Linked DNA regions of Elephas maximus indicus. Each later gene encodes a partner of the first gene's protein in a complex. Links are inferred from orthologs where the notes say so. Each region holds a gene or a part of one and is shown in the gene's direction. Other genes may lie near its edges.

The links.
Region 2: the proteins of SPTLC2 (region 1) and SPTSSA are in contact, whole or in part, in a cryo-EM structure (PDB 7K0K), measured with the Homo sapiens proteins. The link is inferred for Elephas maximus indicus from reciprocal best matches to the Homo sapiens genes SPTLC2 and SPTSSA. Residues at the interface, in NP_004854.1 of Homo sapiens: Leu73, Gly77, Val80, Leu81, Phe84, Leu87, Arg88, Leu91, Leu126, Arg129, Ile130, Tyr156, Met475, Pro476, Ala477, Lys478, Gly480, Ala481, Arg484, Glu485, Asp533, Leu534, Leu535, Gln536; in NP_612145.2 of Homo sapiens: Trp15, Tyr18, Gln19, Leu21, Leu22, Val23, Thr24, Ala25, Tyr27, Met28, Leu29, Glu30, Pro31, Trp32, Glu33, Val36, Phe37.
Region 3: the proteins of SPTLC2 (region 1) and ORMDL3 are in contact, whole or in part, in a cryo-EM structure (PDB 7K0O), measured with the Homo sapiens proteins. The link is inferred for Elephas maximus indicus from reciprocal best matches to the Homo sapiens genes SPTLC2 and ORMDL3. Residues at the interface, in NP_004854.1 of Homo sapiens: Glu65, Thr66, Pro67, Met68, Ala71, Val72, Tyr75, Tyr86, Gln116, Phe118, Glu119, Asn120, Phe121, Tyr122, Tyr127, Trp134, Asp259, Glu260, Leu261, Asn262, Val267, Arg271, Ile279, Met320, Val495, Val496, Gly497, Phe498, Pro499, Ala500; in NP_001307730.1 of Homo sapiens: Met1, Asn2, Val3, Gly4, Thr5, Ala6, His7, Ser8, Pro12, Val16, Ser19, Arg20, Gly21, Ile22, Leu24, Ser25, Leu28, Phe63, Val67, Lys68, Gly69, Thr70, Pro71, Phe72, Glu73, Pro75, Gln77, Arg81.

The regions. Positions count from the first base shown.
Region 1 is NC_064828.1:90,419,425-90,423,167, reverse strand, and holds the start of SPTLC2 (serine palmitoyltransferase 2), read left to right. Parts: upstream 1-1,329; 5' UTR 1,330-1,428; coding exon 1,429-1,554; intron 1,555-3,743. UniProt on the Homo sapiens protein: Component of the serine palmitoyltransferase multisubunit enzyme (SPT) that catalyzes the initial and rate-limiting step in sphingolipid biosynthesis by condensing L-serine and activated acyl-CoA (most commonly palmitoyl-CoA) to form long-chain bases.
Region 2 is NC_064828.1:46,869,233-46,872,975, reverse strand, and holds the start of SPTSSA (serine palmitoyltransferase small subunit A), read left to right. Parts: upstream 1-1,348; 5' UTR 1,349-1,437; coding exon 1,438-1,549; intron 1,550-3,743. UniProt on the Homo sapiens protein: Component of the serine palmitoyltransferase multisubunit enzyme (SPT) that catalyzes the initial and rate-limiting step in sphingolipid biosynthesis by condensing L-serine and activated acyl-CoA (most commonly palmitoyl-CoA) to form long-chain bases.
Region 3 is NC_064837.1:47,192,858-47,196,600, reverse strand, and holds the start of ORMDL3 (ORM1-like protein 3), read left to right. Parts: upstream 1-1,375; 5' UTR 1,376-1,460; intron 1,461-3,743. UniProt on the Homo sapiens protein: Plays an essential role in the homeostatic regulation of sphingolipid de novo biosynthesis by modulating the activity of the serine palmitoyltransferase (SPT) in response to ceramide levels.

The DNA.
Region 1 (3,743 bases):
AACCCAAATTAGCTGACTCCAGAGTCCATACCTCAACCATGACACTGAGGTTTTTAGTCACTAAGGCTGTTGGAGCCCTAGTGGCACAGTGGTTAAGAGCTACGGTGTTAACCAAAAGTCGGCAGTTCGAACCCAGGAGGAAGTGTGGAAACCCTGGTGGTGTACTGGTTGTTTGGCTGCTAACCAAAAGGTTGCCAGTTTGAATCTACCAGGCGCTCCTTGGAAACCCTGTGGGGCAGTTCTACTCTGTCCTATAGGGTCACTATGAGTCGGAATCAACTCCCCGGCAATGGGTTTTGTTTTTTGTTTTAATAGTGCATGGAGTCCTGGTTGCCCAGTGGTTAAGAGCTATGGCAGCTAACCAAAAGATCTGCGGTTTGAATCCACCAGCTGCTACCTGGAGACCCCATAGGACAGCTCTGCTCTGTCCTATGAGGGTTGCTATGAGTCGGAATCAACTCAACAGCAATGGGTTAATGTGCACAACACGTTATTAATAAAAATCCTGCAGTGACTCTATGAAGCGGGAAGCAGTAATTCCACTTTACAGGTGAAGAAACTGGCTCCCAAAGTGCTTAAGTACCCAAAGTTTAGCTTCCAGTAATTGGCAGAGCTGGAAATAGACCAGCTTTCCTGGCTTTAAAGAAGATGGTACAGAAAACCCTGAGAGAAACTATGTAAAGGGCAAAGGGACATCTGTATTAAAAAATGTGTTAACATATCTAAAGAATGTGTGGTATATATTGAAGAATAATGAGAAGAGAATGAATGTCAAAAAGGCTATTCTATAAACACCCACAGAGGAATTAGTTAATTAAATAAAGGAGCTTGCCAGTCTTGGGCTGAGGTTCAAACCATCTTCCCTGGAGGCAAGGGCAGAGAGGGCACCGCCAATCCAAGACAACTAGGAAACCCGCTCGAGACTTACGCTCAGCCCCCTTTCTCTCCTCACACTCTAATTGGCTACTTCTTCTTGGACCCCGCCTCCTCCTCGTCCAGACCATTAAGCAGCCAAGCCCTATCCACAACCCGCTTTGGGCCTCCAATCAGCTGGCAGGCTCACAGTCCCTCGGGAGAATCCCCATCTACCCCGGCGAGGCGCCTTATTCTGGCCGGTGATTGGCCAAGAGGCCGCATAAGGTACGCCTCCTACTCCTACAGATTGGTCGACGGTCCTCAGACACACGCTCCTCCTTGGTCCGATCCCGCCCCGCCTCTCCCTTTTTGGCCGGGCCTGCGGAGAGCCGCGGCCTTCTGGCGGGATAGGCCCCGCCCCCTGTGACGGCTAGGCCAGGAATTGGCCGCTGCTCTGCAGCCATTTCCGGTTTCGAGGAGGTGGGTGGGGTGCGGAGCAGGGTGGGACCCCTGGCTGCCGCCACTGCTGCCATCGCCTACAGAGCCTGCCTTGTGCCTGTCGCTGCTGGGACGATGCGGCCGGGGTCTGAAGGCTGCTGCTGCCGTCGCCCGATGCGGGCGAACGGCTGCGTTGCGAACGGGGAGGTGCTGAACGGATATGTGCGGAGCAGCGCAGCTGCCGCCGCCGCCGCTGGCCAGGTACCGTGGGGCTGGGCGGCGGGCGCAGCGGGCGGCGCGGCTGGGGGAGGCGGGCTGGGACCCAGCGAGCGGGCGCCGGAGCGGAGCCGGCCGAGGGGCAGCCGGGCGGCGTAGGGTTGCGGTGGCTCTCTGCGGGGCCGGGCGCCGGGGGCGGCTCGGGCGTGCTGGCCGCGGGGTCCTGGCGCTGACCGGGCCTGGCCCGAGCCGGAGGGCTCAAGGGCGGCGCAGAGGCTCCTCTCTCTCCGTGCCTGACGGTCTTGTTTTCCTCTCCGCCGAAGGCTTGGGCTCTGCTCAGAGCCACGGGTACCTTCCCTTACCTGATCCGGGTAAAGGTGCGAGCCTCTCCCAGGGAAGGCAGCGAGTGACTCCCTCGGACCCATTAGGATCCCTTCAAGGGCTCTGGGTTCTTTCTCCTGAGGCTCCCTCCTCAAACTCGAGGTAGTTGCTTCCTCTCGGTCCTGAAGGCATCCACGGAAAACCACCCTTGGAGTCTTTAAGGGGCAAAAAAAAGTTAGGAGGTGCTATGAGGAGGGATAGGAGCCCTGGTGGCGCAGTGGTTACAGCGCTCGGCTGCCAACCAAAAGGTCGGCGATTGGAACCCTCCGGCCGCTCTGAGGGAGAAAGATGTGGCAGTCCGCTTCCGTAAGGATTTACAGCTTTGGGAACCCTATGGGACAGCTCTGCTCTGTCCTGTAGGGTCACTATGAGTCAGAATGGACTTGATGGCAATGGGTTTTAGTTAGGAGGAAGGAAGCCCGGGTGGTGTAATGGGTAAAAGCCTAGCTGCTAACCAAAGGTTGGCGGTTCAAACTCACCCAGTGACTCCGCGGGAGAAAGACGTGGCTATCTGTTCCCATAAAGATTACACCCAAGAAAAGCCTATGGACGCAGTTCTACTCTGTAACATGGGGTCACTATGAGTCAAAATGACTGGAAGACACCTAACAATAGCAACGCGAGGAGGAAATACATTATTTTCTTCCTCCCAGGTTCGGGGTCCGCTGCACATGCAGGACTTTGGACCATAGATCTGGCAGTGTAACACTGCCCCGTGCCTCAAAAGCATTGTCTTCATACTCTGCCTGGGGGGGCACCCCATCCCGGGTGCAGGAGAGGTCCCTGTTGAGTTGTGGTCCCTTTGACCCTTTGAGTGAGACTGTTATCACGCAAGGGGATTGTTTAGTGGTGACTTGTGATGAGTCTGTACTAATTAACCAAGGCTGAATCACCAACCAAGTTCAGGCAGTTCTAAAATATTTTGAAAAGTTCCAAGATCAAGACAATATATCAACCTTCCAATTCTCTGGGCTGACAGATACTCTACAGATAGATGTTTTTGAAGATGAGCTAGTTATAAAGATGCAAAAACTGAGTGTTGTGATAATTTGCAACTGACTCATAGGTCTCATTCAGATATTAAGGAAAATATAAAAAAGTAGTCCGTTCCCCTTAGCAGGAGCTGTGACAGTTGCAGTTTTTGACAGGATAGTGATCTTACTTTGGCTTTAATGTAAATATCTCGCAGCTTCCCCCGATCAGTATGTATGATGGCTAGACCTGCTATTGTTTGGTGTAAATCAGTAAATAAAGCATTTCTCCAGGTCAAATTGAGATATTGAGACTATGAGAGTTGGGGGAAAAAATACATAAAAGAACCTTTTTGTTCCCTGAGGTTGTAAGGTGTAAGGCAAAATAATACAGTCAAAAGGTTTGTTTTAGTTAAAAAAAAAAAAAGGGGGCGAGGAAATGATAAGAATCAACTAATTGTAAAGTGTGGAATAATTTTTTTGTTTTCCTAGCAATGTAAGTGACTAATTAGATGAAATCGTTGTGGGATAAAATATGAACTTAATGGCTATGAGTTAGTAGATTGCAGGTGAATGAGAGGTGTACGTGTGTGTGTTAGGTGCTGTCAGGTCGCTTCCAACTAATAGCGACCCTATGTACAACAGAACGAAACTCTGCCTGGTCCTGTGCCATCCTCATCTTAGTTGCTGTGTTTGACCCCATTGTTGCAGCCGCTGTGTCATTCCATCTTGTTGAGGGCCTTCCTCTTTTTTGCTGACCCTCTGCTTTACCAAGCATGATGTCCTTCTCCAGGGACTGGTCCCGCCTGATAACATGTCCAAGTATGTGAGACAAAGTCTTGCCATCCTGGCTTCTAAGGAGCACCCTGGCTGTACGTCTTC
Region 2 (3,743 bases), about 44 Mb from region 1:
CCTGTACTTGGAATATTCATCCCACCCTCTCCTCCCCAACTCGTTCACTCTTCCATTTCTATTTGTTCTTCAAAACTTAGCTCAACCACCATTTCCCACAAGCCTTTTACAACCCCAGCTTGACTTCTACTAGCCTTTTCTCTGGGCTGTCTTGGCATCCTCCACATGACACATACCCTTAACCACACCTCACTGAAATCAGTGCCTCTCTTCCTCAATAGACTGGGTACCTTTATGAAGGCAGCTCCCAGTCTACCTGGTTTCTATCAACAATGTCTAGCTCATAAACAGCACTGGATATTTCTAAATTAATAAAAGTTATCAACCATGACAGTTTTAAAGTTTAAGCAGTAAACCTAGAAACCACTTTAAAATTTAAACAGCAGGCCATTTAACTGTGACATACCACATGCTAACAGTGCATTGCGTTCCTAATGGCAAGTGCAATGTTGCTGGCCCATTTTCCAGTGGGAAAAGCTGGACATTTAGGAAAACATCTCTGTGAGATTCACCAGCCCACATATGGATCTCAAGCAGCCTGTCTGTCGTCTGCAGAACCCACCAGATTAGAGGGCATCTCCTGGCCTTGACCTACACTGTACCTATAACTTCTAAAAGAGGTGGGCAGGTAGAGATTTATCGTAACCGTGGTTGTCTTTAGGTTAAGGAGTGCAGGAGTATGTTTGTCCGTGTGGGTATATTTTTGTGCGTGTGCACGGGTGGGGGAGGAAGGAGGCGATGTGTGCATCACTTCAGAGTCGCCTTTCCTGACCTTCACTCGCTGACGTTCGTCTCTCCCATCCTCTTCGCACTTTATTCTCCTCCTTTGCTCTGATCATTCAGCTTTACTTGCATTTTAGTAACAGATTAATGTCTGTCTTCCCCGATAGACTGTAAACTGCACTAAGTAAGGAGCCTAGTATGTTCCTGGTTCGTTCCAGTAATCCCCTGCCCAGTAGGACGCCTGAGGCATAACAGGTATTCAACAGCTATTTCTCCGACAAGCGTTCAAAGGACCTTCCGGGCAGACTGACCGCTCCCGTGTCCCCACCCCAGCGGACAACAACGCTTTGCCTACCAACGGCCGGGTGGAGGCGGGGCGGACGGGGCGCGGCACGCAGCGCGCGGCGGGTGCGCTCTCGCGGGGACCGTTCTCTGGATCGCGTGGGCGCGGCCCGGCGGGGGAAGGGGAAACGGGGAGGAGGCGGGCGACACGCGAAGGAGGGACCTGGCCAATGAGGGCCGGCCGGGCGGGGCTCGCTGCCGTCCGGTTGCTCGGGCGCGCGCCGGGCTGGGCGTGCCCACGGGTGACGCGCGGGGCTGGACGGGCCAATTGGTGCGGGGCGGCGGGCGGGCGGGACTCGAGCCCCTGGGCTTTAGGACGTGAACCGGCGGCCGGACGGACAGACTGACGATCGGCCCCATCGCGGGAGTTGCATGGCAGGCATGGCGCTGGCACGGGCCTGGGAGCAGATGTCCTGGTTGTACTACCAGTATCTGCTCGTCACAGCGCTGTACATGCTGGAGCCCTGGGAGCGGACTGTGTTCAGTATCCTGCCCGGGCCGCGCGCGTGGGGGGGTGGTTGGGGCAGGCCACGGGGCTCCCTCCTTCCGGGCCCAGGGGCTGGGGGGGGCGCGGGTGGGCACCGGAGAGAAGTCTTCCCGGCCCGGGTAAGCGGACGGGCCTTTTCGCAGCTGGTGGCATGGGGGCCTGTCGCGCGGTCAAGGGGGGGCGAGAACTTGAGCTCCGGAGCCTGCCTGTGAGTCAGTTGACCTGGGGTAGAGCAGTATTTTTTTCTGGAGGAAATCCCCAAGGGTGGTGTCCTACCCGGTACATCCTCGTTTGCTCTTTGGCCGCGGCTGCTTTTGGTTCAGCCCCTATGTGTTCTTGTGGGAGGCAGAGACCGTGTAGTGGAGCAAATCGCTCCCAGTTTGGATGCCTTTGACCTTTAACTGTCCCCCGATTTAGCTGGCTTTGGTCCTGATGAGAATTCTAACCAGTTTGCCAGCTTTTAAAACCGGATTGTGAATTTGTGGTCATGACACCCCAGTGCAGTTTTTGAAAGCAGTTTAAGTTATTGTGCCTTTTTGGTCTTCAATGATGGGTAATTTAAAATGTTTTATTAAATGAATTCTTTCTCCTTTTTGGTCTTCAATGATGGGTAATTTTAAATGTTTTGTTAAATGAATTCTTTCTCTGTTTGCATCCTCCGTAGAAGTCCTGCCCGAAAAAGGAATTTGTGGTTAGTTGTAGTTAGGGTTTGACACTGTTTGGACGAATAAGAGTTAATAAATACTTGCTAAAGACTACAGATTACTGTGAGCCAAACTACTGTGCTAGGTACTTTTGCATATATTTTAACTTATCTAACCTTCCCAACAACTCCAGCGAATAACTCGAGGTTGTAAAGAGAGGCTTCCTGAAGTCTGATTTTTCGTGCCTCCAGTTGCCTATGTTTTGACACCGCTTGATAATGACATTCTCGAAGAATAAATACTAATTATGAGATGTAACTTTTTTTTTTTAAACTTTGAGGCCAATATGAAACTGATATTCCACATACGTGTTTACTTCAGACAGGGTCTCTTCCTTTTCAGTGTGGTTTGGTTGGGAGTTGCCTGCTTCAGGACAGTTTTGCAAATGCGTTGTTGCATTCCGGTAGAGTGACTGAGGTAATTTCATTCCAAGCCTTATGGAGTGTGTTTGTGCTGAAGTAGCGTAAGGTTATACTCAGAGTCTTTTGTTTCAACATTTTTGAGGAAACTTAGCTGTAAGGCAGTTTATTTATTATCATTGACATTTCTTTGCAATATGGAATAATTTAAGAACAAGAATACATGTTTCAGATTTAGATTCTGAAGGTAAAGTCGAGTCTGGCCCCGCCCCCCCATCCTGCCCCCGCCATTTGCTTGTAGTTCCCGTTCAGTCTCACTGTTAAGTTCTGTAGGTTAGAGTTCATGAGGTCATGCCTTGTATGATGTTGTACAATATTGTATGGATATTTAATTGAAATTTCTCAATGGAAGCACACATTTCTTGTCTCACTTAAAATCGTCTTAAAAATGGATTTAAACGCTGTTGGAGTAAATTGACACGCTTTAAATCAGAGGAAACCCTGGTGGTGTAGTGGTTAAGTGCTACAGCTGCTAACCAAGAGGTCGGCAGTTCAAATCTGTCAGGCGCTCCTTGGAAACTCTATGGGGCAGTTCTGTTCTGTCCTACAGGGTCGCTATGAGTCAGAATCGACTCGATGGCAGTGGGTTTAAATCAGAAATTGAGTGTAGAGCCCACTATCAGAGTCTAGTATAGATCTTACATTTAAAGCTATTGTTGGCATAGGGATAAATGTTGCAGTTGTCAATGGTGTTATGGTTTTTCTGTTTTCTGTTGCATGATACCCACCCATGCATACCCACTGTTAGTAGCCTTAGCTCTTAACCACTGTGCTGCCAGGGTTGCAATGATATAACATATAAATTCCTAGGTGGTAATTTTTTGGGGGGAGGATGGAGAAATAAATTATGAACTCAAATGCAGTGCTTCTATAGATTTTTTTGCCCTTAGCTTTTGACTTCTCTTTGGTTTTTACGACCAAGTGGTATCTGTTAGTGTAGAATCTTAAGATTTTAAACCTAAAACTTAAAAACAGTCTTACTGGAAAGTTCACATTATTGAATTAACCCAGGGTAGTAATGCATTCTTTTGCCATAAACCCCCAAACCAGACCTGTTGCCATTGAGTA
Region 3 (3,743 bases), on another chromosome or scaffold:
CTGAGCCAATGCTGTCTTTCCTGTCCTCTCAAACTCCTTTCAGGGTGAGTTTGCAGTCAGTTTTTAGGTCCCTGGGCGGCACAAGCAGTCTGTACTAACCTAAAGTTTAGAGGTTGGTGGTTTGAACCCATCCAGCATTACTGACCAAGAAAGGCCTGGAGATCTGCTTCTGTAGAGATACAGCCAAGAACTGCTTAGCAGTTCTACCCTGTAACACATAGGGTCACCGTGAGTCAGAATACACTCAATAAAAAAATTTTGTTTTGCAGCCAGTCAGGTTTATCATGCCATGATGTCATTAATTCCACAATTCCAGCCCAAACATAGAGAACCTGGGTGGACGAGTGGAAACTACCCAAACAAGACCCTTTGGTGATATGCAGAGTGGAAGTTAGCCAGGAGACTTCAAAAGCCATTTAGTTTAGTTTCCTACAGAAATAGTTTACTATAATGCAACAGGTGCTTTACCTATATTCTTTTGAATTTTCACAACAACTCTGAGGTAGGATTTCACAGGTGTGCAACTGGAGATTAAGACAAATTAAGGAATTTGCACAGGGTTACACTGCTGCTAAGAGTTCCTACACTATGACTACCTTTAGATCTGCCCTCACCTTTAGAGGATGGAGACTGCGAAAACTGCCGGCCAGAGAGGTGGAATCTCCCACCCAAAACCACGCACGCTGATTTGGGACTGGTACTCAGACTCCTAACTCTTCATCAAGGAATCCTTCCATGACACGTGGCCTCTTCTGAGGTCTGATGGGAGGAGGCCGAGGATTTGGCCTAGGCCAAGCGTAACTGAGAAGGAGCTAGCCAAAAGGCTCTGGACAAACGCAAACGCTGCCCACAGGCTGCGTTCTCGCCCTTCCAGACCCTTAAACCAGCCAAAGTTGCAAAAGACCTGCTCCCAGGAGGGTCCCGCTGGGCAAAATGTCGGGTTAGTCCGCTTTCTGGAGGAGCCAATCTGGGACCAAGGCGGAGGCGGCGACGTGTAGTGGAAAAACCCTGCATTTGGGGCCAGATCCCTGGGTTCTGGTCCAGGCTGGGACCCCATAGGGACCTAGGGTAAGTTACTTAAAACTCCGAGTTTCCTCATCTGCAAAACAGGGGCGATTGTAAGCAGCACTTGAAGGGAGTGGATACAGAAACAGGAATTGTTACGAGCCAAAGTAATACCACCAGATCTTAGTATTGCGTCCCGCTGAGACTTCCTGCAGAGAGGCAGTAAACAGGCTGGGAGAGAGCATGGCAAGAAACTACAACTCCCAGGAGGCGCCAGGAGGCTCGGCGCGAAGCGGTGACGTCACAGGGGCGGGCGCGGGGCGCTGATTCGGCTGGAGCTGCCAGCGGGGTGGCTGCTGCTGCGGGTTGTTACAGCTGCTAGAGCAGCAGCGGCCCCCGCCCCCGCTCCTGTCCCGGGGCACTACTCCCGGGCCCCCGACCTCCGGCCCCGCAGGGTAAGTACGAACAGAGGCCTTCTGGTGGGGAAGCCGGGAGGCCCTCAGGACTAGAAGCGGGGCGGGAGAGAGGGGGCCGCTGGGGAAGGGACCCCGGCTGGAGGGGACCCGGACAAAGTGAGCGGGTGTGGAGGGGGTGCATCAGCCGAGGGGGGGTGCCCAAAGAGGGAAGTGGGGGCGGGAGGACAGGGTTGGGGCGCCGAAGAGGGGCGCCCCAGCTGAGGGTAGGGGGCGGGGAGAGGCTCGGCTTCGGGGGTAAAGGTTTGGCTGCCTCCAGGGCTAGGTGAACGCGTGGAGATGGGGGTGGGGCCCCGAACGCGTCCTCTTCCGAGTGCGAGGTCCCAGGCTGGGAAGCGGAGCGGGAGGCTCCCCTGCGGACCGGAGATCCCACTCTGAAAGCCCCAACAATAGTGAGGACTCCGCCTCCTCGCTCCTCCCTCTCTCCCGTCTAGTGGGGGATTGCCTTGGTGCTGTCAGTCTTTTCATTCCCATCGCCCTTCTGTATCCCAAGGCTGGCCGGGGCTGAGAGGTGAGAAGCTGTGACCCTGCGGGTTAGGGGGTGTGCAGAACGTAAATGGCATTGTGGGGTGCTTCCAGGGACTCCCCAGTTGGGGTCCAGGGTGCAGGCCTGGATGTTTTGTGCCGCTTACCCAGAAGGCAAAAGATTTGCCATTTAAAGGTCTACCCTCACCTGGGGGAGGGAATGGGAAGGTCTCACCTGGTGGCTGCCCTGAGGCACACTCTAGCCTTGGCTTGGGTGTCTTGACAGACTGGCAGAGCCGGGATATTCTTGTGTGGAGTTGGGGGGGGGGCGGGGCGGGGCGGGAGGGGAAGAGTGGGAAAGAGCTACCAGCAAGAAAGTGGTTAACAGAACGGAGTTGCTGCAGGCTCTTGTTTGAAGCAGGTTATGAAACCACATTAGGAGCTGGTGCAAGCAGCCACCTGCCAGCTACAGTGGCAGGACTTTTCAGCCTCAGCTGTTGTAGACTTGTTTTACCTCTGCCAGCCTCTTCTCCCTGTCCCCTTCTGGGGGAGAGGTCAATTGGTTATATTACTCATGGAAACAATAGGTCTCACACAAAAGTCTCAGTAGTGCTTCCTGGCTGCCAGTCTTTTTCTTAGTTTTTCAATCTCTTCTGCCTCTTTTTGGGGGTCTCTTGGGATTTTCAGCTCTCAGGGCACTTGGTGTTCAGGCTTCAGGAAGAAGCTTCTCGGGGCGGCAGCTAGGACCTGGGGCCTAGCTCCTTCCTAGACCCATCAGGCTGGGCAGGATGTTCTGTGACAGCCAGAAACGGGCATAGGGTCTTGTGGTCTGGGATTAAGCAAGGCTCTCGGCACTCCTGGAGAAGACACTAGGGAGGGTTAGAAATTTTTTCTATACTCACACCCCTGTAGGTCTGGGTTAGGGAAAGGAGGGCAGCAGTTTCCGATCAGACTTGGGAAACTCATCCCCTCCCTTTATTAATAACTTCTGCTGAACCCTCACTTCCCAGGCAGACAGCCTCTCACCACCAACCCCCCTCCCCCGGTGGAAGCTTTTGCGTAGTAGGTATCCCAGGGGCTGTGTTAGGGTAACTGAAATCCCAAGGCCTTGGGAAGGTAAACAGCTCTGATTTTCTAGTTCCTTGGGTTTCTGTTAGGCCCAATTATCCAGCCTAATGGGCTGAGCCGATGGGCCCAGAAGCATCACATCTTCCAGGATGCACCCCAGGCTAACCCACTATGTTTGTATGTTGAGAAGGTGTGTTGTGGGCCACATTTCCCTTGGGGTCTTTAAGCTTGGAACTGTCTGAGAAAAGGAAACTTGCTCCCATTATTCTGAAAGTAGGGAACTGACCCTTGGGAATTCTAGTTCCTGTGTAGGCCCAACTGGGATCCTGGCCAGAGATAAATAGCAACTGAATCTGAGGGGCTGGCTGCAGTGGGGTGAGGGAGGTGGCCTCTGGGCACTCCCAGGATTCCCTCATTTGGAACCTCTTTCTGAAGCCCCAGGAAAGATGGGGCTGTTACCATGGTGATGACCTTAGGGTCTTCATCAGACAGGGCCCTCCCTCATCTAGGAGGGGATGAGGCTAAGCAAAGGCGCCATCTGTTCCCACTTCCAGCTGGCCACAATGCCCTTGGGGATCTGGGGATAGCAACGCTCTGGAGAAGGGACTGCTCATTCCCCTCCTTACCTCTACCACTTCCCTCTACCCACGCTGGGTTGCTGCCACCATTGTTTCCTAGGCATCAATGGCAGCCCTCTTGGTTCCTCCAGCTCCAGGGCTTCTACCATTGGAA